Linked DNA regions of Nothobranchius furzeri. The protein of the gene in region 1 binds, or shares a complex with, the protein of each later gene. Links are inferred from orthologs where the notes say so. Each region holds a gene or a part of one and is shown on either strand. Other genes may lie near its edges. The genes, in order: pole3, pole2, baz1a, pole4 and chrac1.

Region 1 (4,649 bases):
TGTAGGTCAGTAGTTCTCGATCCCTGTCCTAGAGGGCCGGTGTCCAGCAGAGCTGCTGCAGATCATTCAGCCACTGAAACGAGTGATGAAGCAGAGAACCGAAAACGTCTTGGATACTGGCCCCCCAGTACTGAGAACCACTGCTGTAGGTGTTACATAATTTAAGAACCGAATCAGAACTGTCTAGGTTTAAGAAGGAACTAAAACTGGAACTATAGGTCATTGATCTGAATCCCGATAATGGACCAGTCCTCACACTGCAGTCCTGCAAGTGCGCTGTAAGGCTCTAGTATACTGGTGTGCAAATGATGGCCAAATTGAGACATCATCGATCGTAGCGCATGTCAGGATGCTGGTCACTTGCACAATTTTTTTTTTAAACCTTTAACAGGATATTATTTGAAAAACATTTAAATTGCTTTGTCTTAAAATGTTGGAGCATTAACTAATGTCCTAAAATGAACTTTTGTTGGAAAATGAGCATTTCAGATGTTCCTGCGGCGATGGATTGTGTGTAATACCTTCCACCCAAGTCTGCGTCACTGCAGGCTTGGGTGAAGTGCGGATCAAGGGTGCAAAGCGGGCGTGATCGGCTTTCCCATTGAGAATTGACGCCTCACACACCTGGGTCAGTATTGAGCTAGTGTGGCAGTGTGAGTATTGGGGTTGGGCCAATATCAGGCTGTTTGGACCATTGAGGTGGACCTGCTGTTAATTTTATCGTTTTATTTTTTTTTTGTATATTTATGTCGATGGTTTGGACATGGTGCTTAAGGTAACTCCTGGTCATGTGGTTAGATGACTTCTGTGTGCTGAAGGGTCCAAGGTCACTGATCCTTGGAGGGTTCCTGAACTGTGTTGTAGAGGAACCTTCTTCCTCAGGCCCCTGCTGTGGAGGTAACCTGCAACAGGAAGACTTCCTGTCTGATCTGAGACAAATCTGAAGGTTTCATTACAAACTTTTATTGAAGGACTTTTGTAATAAATGACTACAACAGTACAAATGGTAAAGAAAAAAACTGGGATTTCATTCTAAAACAGAACCCAGTGAAAGTCTTCACTCTGATATCAGAGGTCCAAAATCAACCACAGAAGTTTGAGGGGAACCTACGAGTCAGAATGGATGGTGACCTGGTGCAGGATCAAAAGTCTCAAACGTTAGGCCCATAAAGAAACGGGCCGACTGTTTCCTGCGAGTTTGGACGGGTGTGTGTCCGGTCTAACATCAGCTACCCAAAGATGTGGGTGGAGTCCTCAGTTCTCCACCTCCTCTTCAGGCTCCTCCTCCATGCATTGCTGCTGCTCCTCTTCATCAGCCTCGTCATCCTCTCTGCTCTTGTCATTCTCAGAATCAACCTTTTTTTCTTTATCTTTGCGTTTCTGCTCAGAAACCTCCTTCTTTCCCTTCTGGTCCTTCTTATAGACTGTGGAGAACAAAGACATTGTTAGCTGGTCCGGCTGCTGGAACACCTGGAAGCTTCAGCAGGAACTTGAACCTGATGGCTTTTCTGTGTTTACTCAGGGGTGAAAAAGTTCCTATCGACACAAAAAAAAAAAAAAAAATCTGATAAGAAAACCACATTTACAAGAATGCTGCGTTTACGGTCCGTCCAGAGTGGGAAATCCAAGGAACTGGCCTTGGAACCCCATCATGATTCGGCATTCCGACAGAGCCAGCCTCAAACTGGATCTGCTGCCTGCTGATGTCTTCTGACAGACTATTCTTAATGATGTTCTCACCTTCCAGAGCTTCCCTGAGAGGCTCCATGAACCGCTCGAACTCCATCTCCTCCATGGCAGCCAGAACGTCTCCCGCGTTCAGAGTTTTCCTTTTAGCCTTCATGGCAAAGTTGTTCGCACTGCAAGGAAAAAGGAAACTGGCTTGAGGAGCGTTGACGGGAACCATCCAGGTCTTTCTGCTGGGTCACAAATGTGTTAAAAGCTTGATCTTGTGAACAAAAATGCAGTTTTATTGGCTTTTTTTCCTCACCAGGAGGTTGCATACAACACAAACACGCTGGCTGCCTGAGAGATGGCTCTGCGAGCTTCTTTGGACACGTTCACCCCATCTGGGAGCTGTGAGAAACAAACGGTGCGGAGGAGTTATCTCAGAGCTTCACTCTGGAGTCAGAGCCAGCTCGCAACTGCTCTTTTTCACTCACAAAAAGCTAATTCACACATGAACGTGTCAAAACGTTTAAAAATGACCAAAATCGTTCAGATTCATCATCAAAACACTGAACTTTATCAGATTTATTTAGAGATGACTTATAATTAAAAGGTCTTAACTCCGGAATAAATATGAAGTACTGATAATTTTCTCATTTCAAACAAACGGAATCTGAATGTTATTTTTGATTCAGACTCATTTTGAATTTGAGCAGATTTTTTTTTCCTTTTAAATCAAAATGCAGCAATTATTAGATCAGAATCTAAAACCCCAAATCTGATTTTTATTGCTTTTTTTTTTTTTGGTCACTGACTATAAAATGGTTTTGTTTTCTAGAACATGACAAGGGCAAGTAAAATTGTATTTTGTAGACTTTTCTTGAAGCTGGTGAAATCCAGGAGGGACTGGTTAACCCTGGTTACCTTTAATTTCTCATCCTTCTTACAGATCTGTCATGTTTGAAGGGCCAGTAGCCTGAAGGCAATTATCTCCATCTCCGTGGGCTGTTATTAGAAACAGTACCCTCAACCAGAGGAGATCTGATGAACCAAAGCTCTAAGAGCCAAACCGTGAACGTCTCTGGTTTCATGTGACGTCACCAACACCCACAACAACTGTAAACTGGGACTGAATGAACACACAGCTGATCTGTGGTCTGTTTAATCCGGACAGTGGGTGGAATCAGACGGTAACCGGTGGAACCCGGACCCGGCGGGTTTCACTCACCGCCTCCTTGATGATGCGGGTGATCACCGCGTTGGGAAGATTTAGGTCTTCGGGCCTTTCCGCCATTTCTCCCGAACCACTCCGTTTCCCCCCGGTCGAGTCTCCGGTAGATGTCAGCGCGCGTAGTTAACGTGACTCGAATCCCTCGTTCTAACGTGAAAAGCTCGCGCGCCGCTGCTCAAACCGTCGTTTGTTTCGGGACGTTTCCCGCGAAGCTTTCAACCACCACAAGTCCGCCTGCGTCAACGATGAACTTTGACCTTGATGCGAATGACGTACTTCCTGTCTTGAAAACTAAAAGTACCAGCCAACATTTTCAATAACAGTCTGCAGCTAGACGTATATATGTCGATGAGCTAGACCTTGGAGGAGGAAACGTCAGCGTTTATTTATTTTTTTACTTTATTTAACAAACAATGAGTATACAACATAGAAACGAATGAAGTATACAAAACAACAGAACATGAACACACAAAGCCAGAGGTAAAAGAAAAAAGTAACAATTATAAGAATACACGCAAAAATTCACATATATATTGTTTTGAGAGCTTTTTTTGTTGGTGGATTCTGATATTGATTTTATGTACAATTCCACATGCTTAAAAATGACAGAAATTTGGTGTTTTGTTAGTAAACTTACATTTATGAATAAAGAATTTAGCTAAAAGTATTAACAGATTTATCATAAAAAAAACATTTATCATTCTTCATGGGGAACTTAAAGAAACAGAACAAAACATCTTCCCATCGTAAAGAAAACTCCCTTAAAATATGGACAGTAACAAACCTGCTAAATTCCTTCCAGAATCTTTGTGTAAAAGAACAGCACCAAAAAAGATGTGTCACAGTTTCTGGATGATCCCCACAGAAAGTACAATTAGTGTTTATGACCCTTTTAAATTTTACCATGTAATGACTGGCTGGATAACATTTATGTAGAAGTTTAAATGAGACTTCTTTCACCTTATTTACAATAAAATATTTCTGGGGGATCATCCAGACTGTCTTCCACTTGATATCTGGAACATATCGGTTCCAATAAGATATTATATACGGGAGAGAGACGATATCTTTCTGTAATAAACTACGTATTCTCTTATTGCTGTTACCAAGTTCTAGAGAAAAGCAGATTTTTCCTATTGGTGACTCAACTGGATTAGGGAGAGTGACTGAGGTAGATATTGAGCTGTCAGTGTTTTTATATAACATTAAAGCCCCTGAGGGTATGGCACCAAGCACCATTGACAATTCCTGAACACTGATTGGGAAATTATATAGGGCAATAAAGTCGATGTAAGTAAGTAGTTGTCCCTCTTTATTAACCAGCTGAGCCACCAATAGGATCCCATTCTGGACCCAAGTTTCCAGGAAAAGTGATTTATTTTTAAATAAAATATCTCTGTTGTTCCAGATAAGATATTTGTGAGGTGAGAAGTTGTGTTTATAAATGAGGGTCCACGCTAAGAGGACTTGCTTATGGAAGGGTGAAAGTTTTATAGGGAGTTTCTCAACATTGTAATTACAATTTAAAATAAAATTAAAGCCACCAAAACAAGAGAAAATATGATATGGTATAAGGTTCCAGATAGAGGTATGGTTTTTAAGAAAATGTTTAGCCCAGTTAATTTTGAAAGTGTTATTTAAAGTAGAAAAGTCTAGGACGTTAAGCCCTCCTGATTCGTACTTATTCATCACAACAGTTTTCCTAATATAATGCGTACGGTTTTTCCATATAAATTAAAGAGCATACGGT
Region 2 (3,082 bases), on another chromosome or scaffold:
TGGTAGCGCTGAACTAACCTGGTTACACTGGGAAAATGTAATCTCTTTAAAACTTTTACCTTTATTTACATCAACTGTTTATTCCAAAATTTTTGTCACTCCTTACCTCATATTTAAAAAAAAAATGTCTTTGAGGATGCTCAATAGTTATATTTTACAGAAAACACCCTAAAGATGAATGGAAATCAGCATTGAAAATAAGATGATTTGATTTACTAATGTTATTATATTTTTTTTTTACCTCCACTATATAAAACATCTGGGTCATCTTAATCAAAGAGTGGTAATCCATACTTTCTACTGAGGGTATTTTTGGTATATAACTTCAGAGTAAACATTTAAAACACTAAATTACAATTCATGTCTATGACCATATTAGTTAAATAGATATATAGAAATGAAAATTCAGTGTGTCGATTTGAGAAATAGTGATACCAGAAATTACCTTCAATGGAAAAACAAAGAGTCTTTAACATTGCATTAGGAATAATATACAAGTTCATCATTAAACATAAAAATTCACTAGTTGATTATTTGCACGAAGCTTTTTAAAATAGTTAAATTATTTACCTATTTTGCAAACATTTAATGAAAAAATATGAAGAAAATTTCTTATATAAATATTTTTTATGTAAATTTCAAAAACAATTGTTTATTTTCATTAAATGAGCTTCCTCAGAGAGCTCTCTATAAACATTAAAGTACAGGAAAACTCAGCAAAGAATAAAACCTTTATTTTAAATAAAAACTGTTACAAACATGTTTGATTTACTAAGATACAACACAAATATCACACAAGGTAAAAACAAAGCCCATCATTTTCTCTAAAGGTCTTGAAGTTTGCTGTGAAAAGAAAAAAATACAACTTTAACTTATGAACACGAATATTGGTTAGGACCAGTATTAAATATGCAACGATATGTCAGATTTCATCCCACCTGTCCTCCACGGTCCGGCTAGATGGATAGTACACTTTAAACGTGAAGCCACTTTTTGAAAAAGAACCCTGAGGACAAAAAATATAAACAGAAACAAATAAAATACCTTAGTGACTAAAAGTAAACACATTAACAAAAATCATGTTATTTGAGTTTCCTGCTTCTTGTACCGGGTTGAAACAGAGGCAGTCAGCGCTGGTGATGCTGAAGGGGTCGTACTTGTCTGCAAAAATTATGGCATCAGGCACCGGATAGACCCGCAGGGAGAAGTCGTAGGCCCAGAACACGGGACTGACGTACAGAGGCAGTGGGGATAAATGGCCCTGGGATAGGATGGTCTTTACGAACTAAACAGAAGAAAACAATTAAATTAAAAAGTTTTGGATTTCTATTTTTAACTCCCATCTTCTCAGAAGCATCTGATCTTTTTGGGATAATGCATGAACACGCTTTGGGGGAGAAAATGAGCCTCACGTGGTTTGGGATGTCGAGATTTTTGTTTGGCAAACGGACACAATTCCTGCACATCTTGTTGACCAGATCTTCTCTGATGATGACGATCTCTTGGCTGCAGTACTGAACTCTAAACAGGTCAGTTTAAAAAAAACAATTTAGCAACGAAAACCCTTAAAGAGCAAGTCACCCCCTACCAGTCTCACTCCACTCCCACTTCATGTTTGAAAAATGCAACATATGAGGTTGCTTGGCAGACCAAGAGGGCGGAGCAACCAACAAACACACACATACTCAGGCTCACAATGACATTGTGACATCATAATGTACCAGCTAATGTCATAGTCTTAGCCAATAGCGATGGCAGATTTAAATTTAAACGCAGTTCAGTGCAGAGTTATTAACCTAAAGACGACAGGCAGAAAATTTAAAATTTAACTAAGATGCACTAAAGTCCCAAATTATCGATTACACGTGTCTACGGCACGATTAGACACTCGTTTATATGGTTTATCAGCAAAAAAAAAAAAAAAAGTAGATTTGTGGGTGACTTGCTCTTTAAATAGGTGCAGTTTTTTTTTAATTTACTTTTCCCATTTGAAACAGTTACGTGTTCGTTTTACCTGCAGGGATTGGTCGTGAACACAGAAAAGGGGACTCTCTGTCTGAACTCTTCTGTGATGTGGTCTGCCAAGGGAGGCCTGTGGGAAAAATTCAGATTAATCCAAAGAACGAAGGAAATTTTAACAAATGAGACGTGTTTGAGAACGTACCGCGGTAGGATTGTGCCTGGACCCGGGTCTTTGGGACCGGGAACAAACACAAAGCGACTACTGCAGGTTTAGAAGGAACACTTTAGTTCAAACACACTGAAGATAAAAAATAAAAAATAAGAAAAGTGGGCCAATCCTACCTGCTGTGAATGCTGGGATATGCACTTATAACATCAGCAAGGGTCTTCAGTGAATCTGAGAAAAGACAATGTTGTTTTTATGCACTAGGATTGGGCTGATTTCAGATTTATTTTCTTTGAGCTGTCCACACTTAGTGCTCCAGTTCAGCTGCATGATTAACCTGTTAAGCGAAAGCGGGAAGATATTTGCCGACAGTGTCAAAAAGCTGTGTGTGTTGACTTTAAAGCTCAATAAAATGACTCTGAGTCCGTCTTTAGGAGGTGTAGGTGAACGGTTTCTGACCCAACGGCCTCACCTTTGAGCGCTTTAATCTGCGTTTTCCCAAAAGGAGCGGAGGAGAAGTTCCCACACAGAATGAAACAAGTGGGAGGCATGGCGGCATATCCTGTCAAAAAACAAACACATTCAAAACAAGAGACTGAGTTTTCTCACTCCTCCACCTGCAGGGGCCTGTAGCGCCGCACCTGAGAACATGGTGTTGAGCTTTTCCATCACTTCGATGCTGTCCAGGCAGACGTCGGAGACGATCACAAACATAGCATCCTCGTTCTCCTCTTCCAGCTGTTTAAGCTTGGAGGACGCTTTGACCGAGGTGGCGGATGGACCGCCAAAGAAGTTGATGTCACCGTAGTATGCCCTGGAATAAATAGTTTTTACCCATTAACAGAGAGTTTTGGTTACAGAATACAGAAAAGCAAAATACTTGCTCACAGAGGTTCAGATTTACGTTTTTAACCCATTGTTGGCACATTTTCTGCCCTAGAACTCAACTTAGTC
Region 3 (4,032 bases), on another chromosome or scaffold:
CCTCAATCAACTGATCCAGTTCATCCACTGAGCTGTAGAAGAACCACTGGTTGGGCTGTTCAACCGGGACACTTCTGCAAAGCTGAGCCGGGCTTGATCCAGTGCTGTGAGGTGATAAAAAAGAAAAAAATACATTGAGAGTGCTTTCTTGATGATTTTCTTTGACTTGATCAGTTTAGGCTGTGTGTGACCCACCTTTCACCAGAAGGTTCATTCTTAAATCCTTCCTCCTCCTCCTCCTCATCATCATCAATGATAATGACAGCATCCTTAGAGAGTTTTAGACACGGTTTCAGCATGTCCTCTGTCAGGCCGAAAAAGTCCTCTTCCACAAACAGTGCAGAGGCAGATGGCAGGATCCAGTATCTCCGGTACATTCGGTCTCGACCCAAAGGCAGCAGGCTGGTACAGGCTGCTGCTTTCTGAATGCGCTCCTGCAACTCTCGAACCTGCCAGCATCAGGAAGAGAACTAAAAATCTAATAATGACAGACTCCTGTCATGTTGCTGAAATGTCATCATATATGTCACGCCACCAGGCGCAGCTGCTGATCGCCAGCAGGAAGAAAATTACATCCTTCAGGTAATTTCAGCCGTGAACATAATACTACACCAACTTACTGCAGATCTTTGCTTTTTGTAACAAGTGAGATATGCTTAGAGATTTGTAATGGAGTTGCATCTGACCTTCTCCTGCTCCTTCTCCAGCTCCTCTGGACCCAGGCTGGGAGGAGGGCCCGACAGGTTTTTGATGTCAGAATTCATACATTTTTCTTTCTGATTACCTTCAACCCAAAAAGGAGAAACAAAAGAAGCACACATTTAAAAAATAAACATCTTTATGAATTTTCTTAGCTTGAAATTAGGGATGAACCAATACTGGTTTCAAACAGACTTCGACTCACAGTGACCCAAATACAAATACAGGCCACTTACCATTCATGACCCAAGTCACAGTTACATACAACAGAAAAAAAATCCGGTTAGTAAAAATAATTTAATGTTTGATTCAGTTATTCTGACCTGGACTTGATGTAAAACTAGAAAGTTAAACAGGACAGAATAACACCCAACAATCGGATAACTTTTTAACCATTTAAATCTTTAATCTTCACAGTGTTTAGCTACAGCTGAGTTGGGTTTGGACACCACGGTGTATCATGGTAGAGGGTGCCACCACACCACGAACACGATGCTGCCCATACCACGTGACCTTGTTAAGCGGCACATCCACAGACTGATGGAAGACTTTTCAGCCTTCAGCTTCACAACACATGTGGAGGAACAGCATCTGTGCTTGCTCAAGTGCAAGGTGGGTCGACAATGATTTTACTCTGCAAAGACTCCTTCTGCACGCTAAATGGTTTCAGGTGTTGGACAATATCCAACTGCAGGTGAGTTAAATGAACACTTCAGACGTGAGGAATCCCTTAAAGTTCCACCCACGTTGTGCTGTTAAAATGCAGAAAACATGAGAAACCTTCTGTGTCTCACACGCCCTCAAGTTGGTGGTTAATGCAGGCTTTTGGCACAGAAGAGTGTGACTGTTGCCGTCAGGCAGAAAACAGTCGAACTTTTAAACATTCTGCTTGAGCTTAAGCCAGCCTCAAAGTACGGTACATTACCTACTATCCTGCATCGATGAGTACTCAGCTCTAAGGAATTGTACTAGTTTTGGACAAATTGGTATTGGCCCATCCCTAAAAAACATTTTGCTACAAACGTCTGGTTGAACAGAGGCTGCAGCTAGACAGAGGCCTGTTTTGAGCTTAGGATCCTTCCTCAAGACAGAGGGCAGTTGAAAGGCTGCTGCGGGTACCAAGATTATCGGTAGGATGGTATAAAAATCTGATATATGATCAAAAAATCCATCATTTCCTTAATTAATTACTGAGTCTACAGGTGGAGGTGGGGATGGGACCATGCAGAGATGGACTGCGGGAGCGAATGGAATTGGGAGAATAAACGGGAGTAGGTGGGAACATGCTGGGCTCTGTACAGTTTTACCTTCCATTGTCTTTCTAAATGATGAGTTTTCTTCAGTTTTCTCAGAAGGACGTTCTGCAGGTGTTCCACTACAGAGACAACACAGTTAATTTCATCCCAACACAAGGATTTTATCTGTTTTTTTAGGACATTTAGAAGTCGTCTAAATGCAAAGTGAAGAAGAGCTCTTCCTCCTCCTCTTAGCCAAAACGCTCTTCCTACCCATTTATGTGGATCTCCTTTTCCTCCTGCTCCTTTAATTTGTCCCTCATCCGCTGCTCCTGCTCCCTCAACTTCTCCTCCTTCCGAAGACGAATCCTAAAATTGACATGAGAGCACACCTGCTGGTAATGTCGTCTGGATATTGTCGGTTTGTCGCAATGTTTGATCAGCTAATGTTAATTCGTCTTTGGTCGGGTTGAAAGAAGTGTCTTTAGTCAACAACAAACCAAATTAAGAGATTGAAACCCCTTCAGCCAAGGAAGCCCAGAATAATGTGCGTTTTATGAAAAATGCGTGGCTGACCTTGCTCTGAACTACGGAAGCCCAGGAGTGGACATGATAGCCTTCTGCTACGTGCTGGCTAAAATAATTACTGTATTGACCTGAATATAAGACGAGGTTTTTTTCATTGACAATAATTTTAAAATGTGGGGTCGTCTTATAATCGGGGTCTAACCATTACACTCCCATAACAGCAGAGGGCGCCAGACTGCATGTTCGCAGAAGAAAAAAGTGGAGACGGGATCCATAGCAGAGTGGACTGAAAGTGGGGCAAGTTAACAAGCTATAAGGCAGATTTATGCAAATTTTAAGATGACTGCAGTCAATTCAGCAGAGGCGTTAAACATTGCATGCATGGATGGCAGTGAGGATGGCATTCTGGGAGGAGTCAGCAGGTGTAGTGATCTGATGGTACACCAGGACCACAGCAGCGCGAGATTTAAGCACAGCGAGGCAGAGGGCGTCTGAATAAAAGCCTCATTTGACCTTTGATTTGTGAGCAAAGTTCTGATAGTTTGCAATAAAATAGTATTTTTGCTCAGTATTTGTTCTCAAATTTTCAATAAAAACAGTTTATTTAAAAAGGGATTTTTTTTTTGTTTTTTTCTGAAATGAGTCTTGGAAAAGGGGCTCGTTTTATAATCGAGGTAATCCTATAATCAGGTCAATACGGTATATTGTCGGTACGGTATAAGTGGAAGGACACACTTCCACCAGCTTATGGTCAGTGGATCAGGGAGGCAATGTCTCACACACACCTGATTCAATGTGGTTTGGTCATCATTTAAGTCATATTTGAATGATGTCTCTGATGAACTTTTTATAATTTTTTCTTTAACTGTATTTTCTATTCGTGGATTTAATTTTGGGCTTTGTTTCAGCGTTGCCTTGGAACTTGTTTTGTGCTTGTTTTTTTATTTTTTACTTGACTTTAAGTTTGATCAAGTGAAGTGGAGTGCGTGGGGGGTCCAATAAAATGTCTTCATTCAAGAAAAGAATAAGTCTCAGGTGGTTCTGACCCGGCCCGAAAAGCAGCAGGTGTTAACACACTGGTTTACTGAAACACCCCTCTGGTTCTAACTGGAAACACTGGTTGTCCTGGCATGGTTTTGATGGGCTGATCGGGCGGTCTGTACGTGCCGTGTACCTGTGTGCGGCCTCCTCCCGGTCTCTGCGATGTTGTTCTGCTCTGACCTCCCTCAGCTCCTGTCTTGCTGCTTTCTGTTCCTCCAGTGAGTCTTCAATCAGATCTCTGCTAGGAGCTAATGTTAACAGTTTTCCCAGCAACGCCAGGAGGATCTTCAGCTTTTCTTCTGTACACAAAAATCATCATGATAGTTTTTAAACTTCAGTCTGAAAAACCTTGATAGCAGCACACACCCCAACAGTCTAACCTGGGCTGAGGTCATACACCGGTGTGCATGACAGCTTCTTCAGGAGAGCAGGCTCAGAAAACTGCAGGTTTACACAGGGATCGTCCATCAGTGTAAAGGCTCCCTGCTTCTGGTAGCGAAACTTGGCGTTGCCATGGTTACAATAAGCA
Region 4 (4,094 bases), on another chromosome or scaffold:
CAGCACAGCCAATAGATGAGCTTATGGATGGTTCTAATGGGAAACAGGCTTCAACAGAAGCAGTTGTTTTCCGCTTGGTCCTAGTGCTCAACCAGTGTCTATTTAATATGGTGTAACATTGTTTTTGGACGGTAAAAATTGCAGGGTACCAAAATTTTGTTTGGAAAAAAATGGGGTGGGGTCGTGTCCCCCCACCCCCCAAAACTACATCCATTTATATGATAAACTTGTGTAAATTAAGATAAGCTAATAAGAGTAGTTGTTATTAGCAGCTTTGTCATCTCTGCCAAGTTTGTTGTGACATTTGAAATCTAAATTGTTTTGCCACACCTGGAAAAACTGGGTCCTGAAATGGGACAATGATCCCAAATACAGCAGATACAGGTCCTTCTAAAAAATAAGCATATTGTGATGAAGTTCATTATTTTCTGTAATGTACAGATTAACAGACTTTCATATATATTAGATTCATTACACACAACTGAAGTAGTTCAAGCCTTTCATTGTTTCTAATATTGATGATTTTGGCATACGGCTCATGAAAACCCAAAATCCCTATCTAAAAAAATTTGCATATTTTATCCAACCAATAAAAGAAAAGTGTTTTTAAAACAAAAAAGTCAACCTTCAATTAATTATGTTATAATTGTACAATTCTGTTAAAAACTCCATTACTGGGAATTGTATATTTCTGCAGTTTCCACACAAGATGAAAATGTGTTGTTAAAACAAAAGTTTATTCCATTTTCCAGTAACATTACTCACATATTTACAAAACCATTTACACAATATCAGACAAATTCAAAGTTAGAGCTTGTCATATAAAAACATTTAATCAATCTGTGAGGTTGACTTAGAAAAAATGTTCTGTGATTCAACAATGAAACACATTTTAGACAGTTGAGGATCTTTTTAATGTGGTCTTATAAAAAATCTTTAATCCAGTGTTCCTGTAGAGGAAAGAGGTCAACATGATAAGACACACAAACACATCTGCATGTGGGTGAAGTTAAAATACCAGAGTCAAAAGATGACATGGAATAATTTGCAAAACTTTGCAGGATTGTTTCATGTCTTTTTTTATGATTTACCTTCAAGAAATGCAAACTCATCTATGGCCTCTATTGCATTGTCTGTGGAGGAAAAGTAGAAGAGTGTGCAATTAATATTTTCATTTATTATTATTATTAATATTGTTAAAACTGAATCACTTCATGCCTGTTTAAAGTGTTTTCTCCACCAGATGAAATTATAACATTATTATTAACATAAATACTGCTTTTTAGCTACTGAGTAATGAAGAAGAAACAAGCTTTTATATAGTGCCTCTCGAAATAAAAATCAGGAGGCACTTAGTGATTTCTATCAACCTAACTAAAGCTTCCTTCTTTATATATAATCACCATTTTGTTTTGAACAACATGACTTTTAAAGTCATTATATTCTCTAGCACTTCCACTTTTCATGGAGATACACAAATACGTAGCATCCAACTTCGTCCGCTTATCCGGGGTCGGGTCGCTGGGGCAGCAGCCTAAACAGAGGCCCAGACTTCCCTCTACCCAGCCACTTGGGCTAGCTCCTCCAGGGTAATCCCAAGGCGTTCCCTGGCCAGCCCAAAAACATCCAGCGTGTCCTGGGCCTTCCTTTAGGTCTCCTCCCAGTTGAACATGCCTAGAAAACCTCACCAGGGAGGTGTCCAGGGAGGCATCCTAACCAGATGCCCGAGCCACCTTAACTGGCTCCTCTTGATGTAGCAATATTTGTTTCTATAAAATTATGTTGCTAGAAGTATTCTTAATTTCGAAATACTCTTAAAAATGACTTTAAAAAATGTATCAAAATAAAAGGAATCAATTTCTGAAGTCACTTTGAAATGTTTCAGCTCTTACCCAAGTCTTTTCTTTGTAAAGTTTTCCTCTTTCCTTGCTGAGCATACACCATAGCATCTTTGGCAATCATCTCAACAAACAACTCCTGGAAAAAAGGGAAAATTAGGTCAAACTTGTAGGTTTGGTGTATTTTACCTGAAACTAACACGTGTGTTTTGCATTAAACAATGGCAATTGGTTTATATTAACTATTTTGTGGACTAAAAGGTTTATTCTAGATAAAACGTGGGGGACGTGACATGAAAACATTGACCTTCTTACTGAGTAAACCGTTTTACCGTAGCTTTAGCGATGATGAACACAGACTCCTGGCTAGCCAAGGACACGTCTGGATCCGTCTTCATCAGAGCTTTGATGCGGGCCAGCGGGAGTTTGGACAGACGGTTATGGGGCACGACGGCCGGGCCTGTCAGCTGCTGACCCCGGTCCTCTGCCTCCACAGCACGGTTCTCCTCCTCACTCCCGCACCGCTCAGCTTCGAGCTCCGCCGAGGGAACGGGCGTTGCTGATGACATTTCCTATGGCCTCACAATCGTGTTTTGCTGTTATAAAAACACTCGAATATCTCTCATTTTACACGTCCCAGACAACAACATCAACCGCCTCGAGCCAGCATGTGCTTCCGGTACATCGTGGAGCGAATGGTGTTTATTGGTCAAAAGCTCAGACCCCGCCAACAAATACTCGTCTGTGATTGGACAATTGTTAAAGGATGCCTTGTCATTGGTTAGAATTGACGTCAGTCAAAATATGTAGCAGCAAGATTCTGGAGTGAATGTACAATTTGGTGACGCTGTGTGGCGATATTTCTAGTTTTAATTCACGCATTAGAGGTTTTAATGTTGTGATTTTTATTTTTCTACATTATGAGAAATTAAAAACAGTAAAAATAAGTTGGGGTCAGCTCACAAGTGGTCCACTGGAGGGCGGTAAAAGGCGCTGAAGACACCAAACTACTGAAATCAATTCCCTGCAGTTTACTTTTTAAAGTACAATGTTGGCAGATAAGAGCCTTATATCACAATAGCAATTTTACGTTTCTGGAAAAAAGTATGTGTAAGTGAAATAGTGTCTCTTTGTTAAATCTCTGCTTACACCATCATCATCACCACCTCCATCATTCTTAGCTGATCATTGTCAAGAGATGGACAAAATCCAACCAGGTAATCAGATTACAAACATGTCTTAAAGACCTGAAAGACTCTTACTTTTCTATTTCCATGTTCAGAGAAGACATTGGCTGTATTTTTTGGACCTGAGAGTTTTAAGATCACAGCTTGAAGACATTCACTTGGCCTCCAGTACTAGTGACAGGATCCTTGGTGTTATTCTGGACCAGGATCCATCCTTATACTCTCAGATAAAACATGTTACAGTTAGGGTAAATTTGAGTAACTCATCACTTTAGTCATGCTGCTGGATTTAGATTGCTGGGGGGGAAACTGACTACATTTCCTAAATTAGCTGCCTTAAACTCTGTTTAAATACTGACTACACACAACACCCCTCTGATAGTCCAAATATATATATATATATTTTTATAAATGCCATTTTGACCTTTTACTTCCTTGACATCTGTAGGGCAATAGTTTCCATATAGGTCTAACTATCTGTAAAAATATATTTCTTAGGACAAACAATCACAAAAATTAAGATTTTCCTGAAGTTATACAGTATTACCTAATTAACGAACATCATATTCACCGTTTGTTTAAAACTCGTATGCAGATGAAGTTTATTCTAAGAACAGCTGTTTTAATATAATCACCAACAAATAACCAACATTATGTGCTATATGCTTAGGTACATAGGTGCTTTAGTCTTCAAAAGTATGTTTTCAGCATTTTTATGAGGTCAGTTTGTGCCAGAGGACATGATGATCAGGCCACTAATACACAGTATTAATAGGATTGGGAGGAGTGCTTTAGCCCTCTGAGGATCTCTTCACACGTAAGGACACAGTCCGGCGTCAAAGCCTCCGGGAACAGACATGAAGGACCCACAGCTCCCAGGTAAAACCCTTTCATTTATGTTATATTTGATTTAACTATATATAATTATCATTTAACTCACCTTTAAGAAAGTAAAATGCTTTTATTCTTTATGTATTGGTGTTTTAAAATATTTGTAAGACTGATGACTTATGAACAGGTCTAACAACATTTTTCATTACTTAGAGTGAAAATTAAAGCCTATATTAAT
Region 5 (4,783 bases), on another chromosome or scaffold:
AGAGAAACTGAGGGATTAAAAGTGAGATTGAGAGATTAAGAGTGATATTGAGGGGGGGGGGGGGAACTGAATAACAGAGAGATTGAGAAAGAAGGATTAAGAGAGATTGAGAGATTATGAGGGAGATTGGGATACTGAGACAAAGAGAAACTGAGGGATTAAAAGTGAGATTGAGAGATTAAGAGTGATATTGAGGGGGGGGAGAGAAACTGAATAACAGAGAGATTGAGAGAGAAGGATTAAGAAAGATTGAGAGATTATGAGGGAGATTGGGATACTGAGACACAGAGAAACTGAGGGATTAAAAGTGAGATTGAGAGATTAAGAGAGATATTGAGGGGGGGGGGGGAAACTGAATAACAGAGAGATTGAGAGAGAAGGATTAAGAAAGATTGAGAGATTATGAGGGAGATTGGGATACTGAGACAAAGGGAAACTGAGGGATTAAAAGTGAGATTGAGAGATTAAGAGAGATATTGAGGGGGGGGGAGAAACTGAATAACAGAGAGATTGAGAGAGAAGGATTAAGAAAGATTGAGAGATTATGAGGGAGATTGGGATACTGAGACAAAGGGAAACTGAGGGATTAAAAGTGAGATTGAGAGATTAAGAGTGATATTGAGGGGGGGGGAGAAACTGAATAACAGAGAGATTGAGAAAGAAGGATTAAGAGAGATTGAGAGATTATGAGGGAGATTGGGATACTGAGACAAAGGGAAACTGAGGGATTAAAAGTGAGATTGAGAGATTAAGAGTGATATTGAGGGGGGGGGGAGAGAAACTGAATAACAGAGAGATTGAGAGAGAAGGATTAAGAAAGATTGAGAGATTATGAGGGAGATTGGGATACTGAGACACAGAGAAACTGAGGGATTAAAAGTGAGATTGAGAGATTAAGAGAGATATTGAGAGAGAAAGAAAGAAAGAGTGATACTGAGAGATTAAAATAGTGAGATTGAGATTAAAATAGTGAGACTGAGAATTTAAGAGTGAGATTAAGAGATTAAGCAGGCTGCTGAAAAAGACAAATCTGCTATTTCTTGCAAATGAGCTGTTCAGATTGTTTTACATGAACAAACTGATCCAGAGTCAGCTGTGGAGGTTAGCTATGAATCCTTAACGAGGCACGTGAAATCTGGATTATTACATGATGGATCTAAAAGTAGAAAACAAGCTGAGTCATCATCTGGACATCAGAGGTCGTTAACTGAATGTGTTTGTTTGATTAAAAACAAACTTATCCATATTTACTCGTTTCGTCCTCTTTAGGCTGAACGATCATCTCGCCAACACGAGGGACGGTCTCGACAGGAGAGCGCGCACGGCGAACAGCCTGGAGAGTCACTTTTCTACTTTAGAGAAGAATCTGTTTCATTTTCAGCTTCGACTCGCGAAGCTGACCCGACGCTGACGATTCATGTTCCATTCATGCAGCAGCTAACTAAATATCAACCACAATCCCCTGCAACATGCTTGTGAAACATCATAAAAGTATAAAACATCGGATCTTGACACGAGAGGCATTTATTTTAGCATTCATCTTTATTTTATATCAAATCTAAACACACGAGTAAATTCACAACGACGATTCCCTCTGAGACATTTTAACAAAGAAAATGACGTGAAGCTGAGGTGGCATTTCACATCTGGAGAGGCACAAACGCTGCTTCGCAGTCTCTCATCTAAACACGTCGCCTCTCTACAGGTGGATGAAGTTTTTCATCCACTCGTGTTTTCTGTCACGTCTGTGTTCCAGCTGCTTGTCACGTCTGTTAGGAGGTAACGGTTCACTTCTGGTGCAAGTGGAAGCACCTAAAAGACAGCCCCGACTGTGTTCAGCCAAAATTAAAATGTTAAACTGAACTGATTGGTCTGTGCTGCCTTTTAAACCAGTGTTAAATATCTTATTTGCTTACTGCCATTATTTGGTCTAAATTCCTCAGAGCTGAGCTCTGAGGCAATTTAAGCTCCACCTTCTCCAAGACCGTGTGTTTAAAAAGCTCTAAAGTCCATAAGTGTCTCCTCTGACACACACACACACACACACACACACACACACACACACACACACACACACACACACACACACACACACACACACACACACCAGGGAAAGTGGCTTTCATGTCAAAGATCAGCTTCTTCTTCTTCTTCTTGCATCTGCTCCAAAGTCTTGAGGTAATCTCGAGCCAAGATCTTCTTCGGCAAAATATCTGTCAGATTAAAAAAACCTGTTTTTCAGTATAAATTTTATTTATTATCGGTCTTTTCTCTGAGAAATAAAGTTCAAATGGCACAAAAATTACATGTTGCTAAAATAAATGTAAGCGGCTTACAGTTCTTGTGGAAAATTCATATCGCTCTCTCTCTCATCTGTAAGTTTTTTTTTATTGGTTTGATTCTGTTTCATTCCAATCTTTCATTTTTGGCAGTAAAATACAGGAAAGCTAAAATAAATCTTCCTAAATGGTCCAAAAGCTAGCTTCCAATGGCGTTTTGCTATTTTCCTCGTGTCTGGGACTTTATTAAAACACTTATTTATAAATAAAACATTAAAATACAATAAAGGCCAGTGTATCTAATAATCTGGCTTCAGGACGCGCTGATGCTCAGCTCCAGACTCGCCTGTGAGGAAGTGGAAGGTCTCGTTCTCCTCGGTGGTTTTAGCTAGGTCGCTGTATTCCAGGGTGTTGCTGTCCTTCCCGGAGCCGTTGTTGAAGGAGGACAGGGCCAGATGCTGCACAAACAGCTCCTTTACAACAGATTAAAAACTATATTTAGCGATTTTAACTTCACACGATTTTAGTTCAACCACCAGCTAGTTATGCTAACCCCCCGCTAATAGAAACACAACCACATTAGCATCAAGGGCAGCTTACAGTAGCCTTGGTGGTGAGGAACAGCGCGTCTTGGTTGATGCTGGAGACATCCGGAGAGCTCTTCATGATCAGTCTGACCCGGGACACCGGGAGAGAGATGGACTTTTTGGCGTCCGGCGTCTGGCTGTCTTTGTTTGGGTTGTTTCGAGACATTTCTGTTTGGACAAAGGACAAGAATGACTGAACTTTAAGTTTTGTTTTGAAGAGTGACGCCTTTCTTCTTCGCCGTCTTCAATTTCTTTGGTGGTCTTTACGTTGAAACAGCGCCTCCCGCTGGAAAGCAGGAGTATAACCCAGCACAAAAGATGTTATTTCAAACAACACTGTATATTTAGATTAAATTTAATAAATAGTAATTAAATTTTACCCTGATACTATATTTGTATTTTAAAAAAGTACCTGACAATCATTCCAACCAGCTCTTGGGAAACGGTCAAAACAGAACCATGCTTGAGAGAAACAACTTTCAGCTTGTTTAAAACTATTATATTTAATATAATATAATTTAATATAATATACTTAAATATACAAATGAATAATCTCGAATAAACTCTATCATTATTTTTGCCATAGTGAGGCAAAGGAAATGGAACTCTTTTTATTTTGTTTGCATTTGTTTCTATTCTCCATGAATCACAGGTCCTAGTGTAAAAATGTGTTTGTTAGAATACAGTAAAATAAACTGCAGAATTGTTTATAAAAGTAAACAAAAGTAATTAACATTATTTTAGTTCCTCAAAGGATTATACCAATTTTCTAAAAACTTTTAAGGAAATCTGTAAAAAATATGAAATACATTAAAAAACAGGAACAACCACCACTACTACTCTGCCTCCTCCTCCTCCTCCTCCTCCTCCTCCTCCTACTACTACTACTACTACTACTACTACTACTACTACTACTACTACTACTACTACTACTTCTACTACTTCTACTAGCTACTACTAACAATAAAAATATTAATAATTTAAATAATTTAAAGTAGAAGACGTTTTATTTGTCTGTTAGTGGGGAAAGCCAGTCTTTCAATCAGCAAAAACCTGTAAAAATAAAGAGTGAAAAAGATACAATCAAAGGCATGGAAAGTAACAACTTTGTTAAACAGATAATAATCAAATAAACGGTTATCTCCCATTGTAATAATAATGATAAGAAGAAGAAGGCCGCTGCTTCAGCACTCAATAAGTTAATTCCTATATCAATCCAAACTTTTTAAACATGTGAATGAGTGATACTAGTGATCAATAGTTTATTATTTTAATCCTGAAAAAACACAAAGTTGTTGTTCATGCACTCATATCTATTTTAACAACGATAATAAGGAAATACTGACTCACATTTAGCTGCCCCAGCCCAGCGCCCGACGCAGTCCTCCACACCAGTAGGCGGCGCTTGACTTCAATAGTTTTCCGACCTCAGAACAAAGGAAACGCTGAAGAAGAACCTCCGCGCTGAAAGTAGAAACAAGTCAGTACATAAATAATGCTGCTTTAACTTCGTTGTGTTTTAAGGCTTTTTGATGTCTTTACGGTTATTTTTGTTTGATAATCGTTGGCGAAATATGCTAAAGCTACATCCGGTCGTGATCTGGTAATAAGCCAAGCAGCTGCGTTTCTGTTGTGATCGTTTTTACGTACGGAGGCATCGTTCTCTAGCCGGTAAAATGCCTCTGGGTTTGAAGCCGTGCTGCTTTGTCTGTAAGACGAACTCTTCCTCAATGTGGAAGAAAGGCACCCAGGGTGAAATACTGTGCAACAACTGCACAGGGAAGAGCAGCAGTAGCGGCGGCGGCGGGGGAGCTTCGGGACCCTCCTCCATATCAACCATCACACAGCCCAGCAACGGCGGGGCCAAGCAGGTCAGAAACACCGAAGAGAAACGCCACGAACAAAATCCGAGAGTTC

What was found.
Region 2: pole3 (region 1) and pole2 share a complex: the UniProt entries of both Homo sapiens proteins name them as parts of the DNA polymerase epsilon complex. The link is inferred for Nothobranchius furzeri from reciprocal best matches to the Homo sapiens genes POLE3 and POLE2.
Region 3: pole3 (region 1) and baz1a share a complex: the UniProt entries of both Homo sapiens proteins name them as parts of the CHRAC ISWI chromatin remodeling complex. The link is inferred for Nothobranchius furzeri from reciprocal best matches to the Homo sapiens genes POLE3 and BAZ1A.
Region 4: pole3 (region 1) and pole4 share a complex: the UniProt entries of both Homo sapiens proteins name them as parts of the DNA polymerase epsilon complex. The link is inferred for Nothobranchius furzeri from reciprocal best matches to the Homo sapiens genes POLE3 and POLE4.
Region 5: pole3 (region 1) and chrac1 share a complex: the UniProt entries of both Homo sapiens proteins name them as parts of the CHRAC ISWI chromatin remodeling complex. The link is inferred for Nothobranchius furzeri from reciprocal best matches to the Homo sapiens genes POLE3 and CHRAC1.

What each region holds. Positions count from the first base shown.
Region 1 is NC_091749.1:66,564,208-66,568,856, forward strand, and holds pole3 (DNA polymerase epsilon subunit 3), read right to left. Parts: upstream 3,151-4,649; 5' UTR 2,963-3,150; coding exon 2,897-2,962; intron 2,077-2,896; coding exon 1,991-2,076; intron 1,860-1,990; coding exon 1,741-1,859; intron 1,425-1,740; coding exon 1,255-1,424; 3' UTR 942-1,254; downstream 1-941. UniProt on the Homo sapiens protein: Accessory component of the DNA polymerase epsilon complex. Participates in DNA repair and in chromosomal DNA replication.
Region 2 is NC_091758.1:27,026,380-27,029,461, reverse strand, and holds the end of pole2 (DNA polymerase epsilon subunit 2), read right to left. Parts: intron 2,943-3,082; coding exon 2,770-2,942; intron 2,691-2,769; coding exon 2,601-2,690; intron 2,360-2,600; coding exon 2,305-2,359; intron 2,225-2,304; coding exon 2,165-2,224; intron 2,093-2,164; coding exon 2,015-2,092; intron 1,522-2,014; coding exon 1,413-1,521; intron 1,286-1,412; coding exon 1,109-1,285; intron 1,007-1,108; coding exon 939-1,006; intron 844-938; coding exon 825-843; 3' UTR 714-824; downstream 1-713. UniProt on the Homo sapiens protein: Accessory component of the DNA polymerase epsilon complex. Participates in DNA repair and in chromosomal DNA replication.
Region 3 is NC_091758.1:18,191,225-18,195,256, reverse strand, and holds part of baz1a (bromodomain adjacent to zinc finger domain protein 1A), read right to left. Parts: coding exon 3,884-4,032; intron 3,803-3,883; coding exon 3,637-3,802; intron 2,304-3,636; coding exon 2,208-2,303; intron 2,075-2,207; coding exon 2,007-2,074; intron 785-2,006; coding exon 687-784; intron 450-686; coding exon 196-449; intron 105-195; coding exon 1-104. UniProt on the Homo sapiens protein: Regulatory subunit of the ATP-dependent ACF-1 and ACF-5 ISWI chromatin remodeling complexes, which form ordered nucleosome arrays on chromatin and slide edge- and center-positioned histone octamers away from their original location on the DNA template to facilitate access to DNA during DNA-templated processes such as DNA replication, transcription, and repair.
Region 4 is NC_091748.1:55,969,874-55,973,967, forward strand, and holds pole4 (DNA polymerase epsilon subunit 4), read right to left. Parts: upstream 2,530-4,094; 5' UTR 2,408-2,529; coding exon 2,171-2,407; intron 1,978-2,170; coding exon 1,893-1,977; intron 1,134-1,892; coding exon 1,092-1,133; intron 951-1,091; coding exon 937-950; 3' UTR 719-936; downstream 1-718. Other genes in the region: serine/threonine-protein kinase NIM1, read left to right, coding at 3,883-3,904. UniProt on the Homo sapiens protein: Accessory component of the DNA polymerase epsilon complex. Participates in DNA repair and in chromosomal DNA replication.
Region 5 is NC_091759.1:18,090,191-18,094,973, reverse strand, and holds the start of chrac1 (chromatin accessibility complex protein 1), read right to left. Parts: upstream 3,139-4,783; 5' UTR 3,033-3,138; coding exon 2,880-3,032; intron 2,753-2,879; coding exon 2,626-2,752; intron 2,214-2,625; coding exon 2,128-2,213; 3' UTR 2,108-2,127; exon of another isoform or gene 1,989-2,107; intron 1,813-1,988; exon of another isoform or gene 1,722-1,812; intron 1,504-1,721; exon of another isoform or gene 1,412-1,503; coding exon of another isoform or gene 1,270-1,411; intron 1-1,269. Other genes in the region: uncharacterized protein si:ch211-57n23.1, read left to right, coding at 1,270-1,411; gatad1 (GATA zinc finger domain-containing protein 1), read left to right, coding at 4,543-4,737. UniProt on the Homo sapiens protein: Forms a complex with DNA polymerase epsilon subunit POLE3 and binds naked DNA, which is then incorporated into chromatin, aided by the nucleosome remodeling activity of ISWI/SNF2H and ACF1.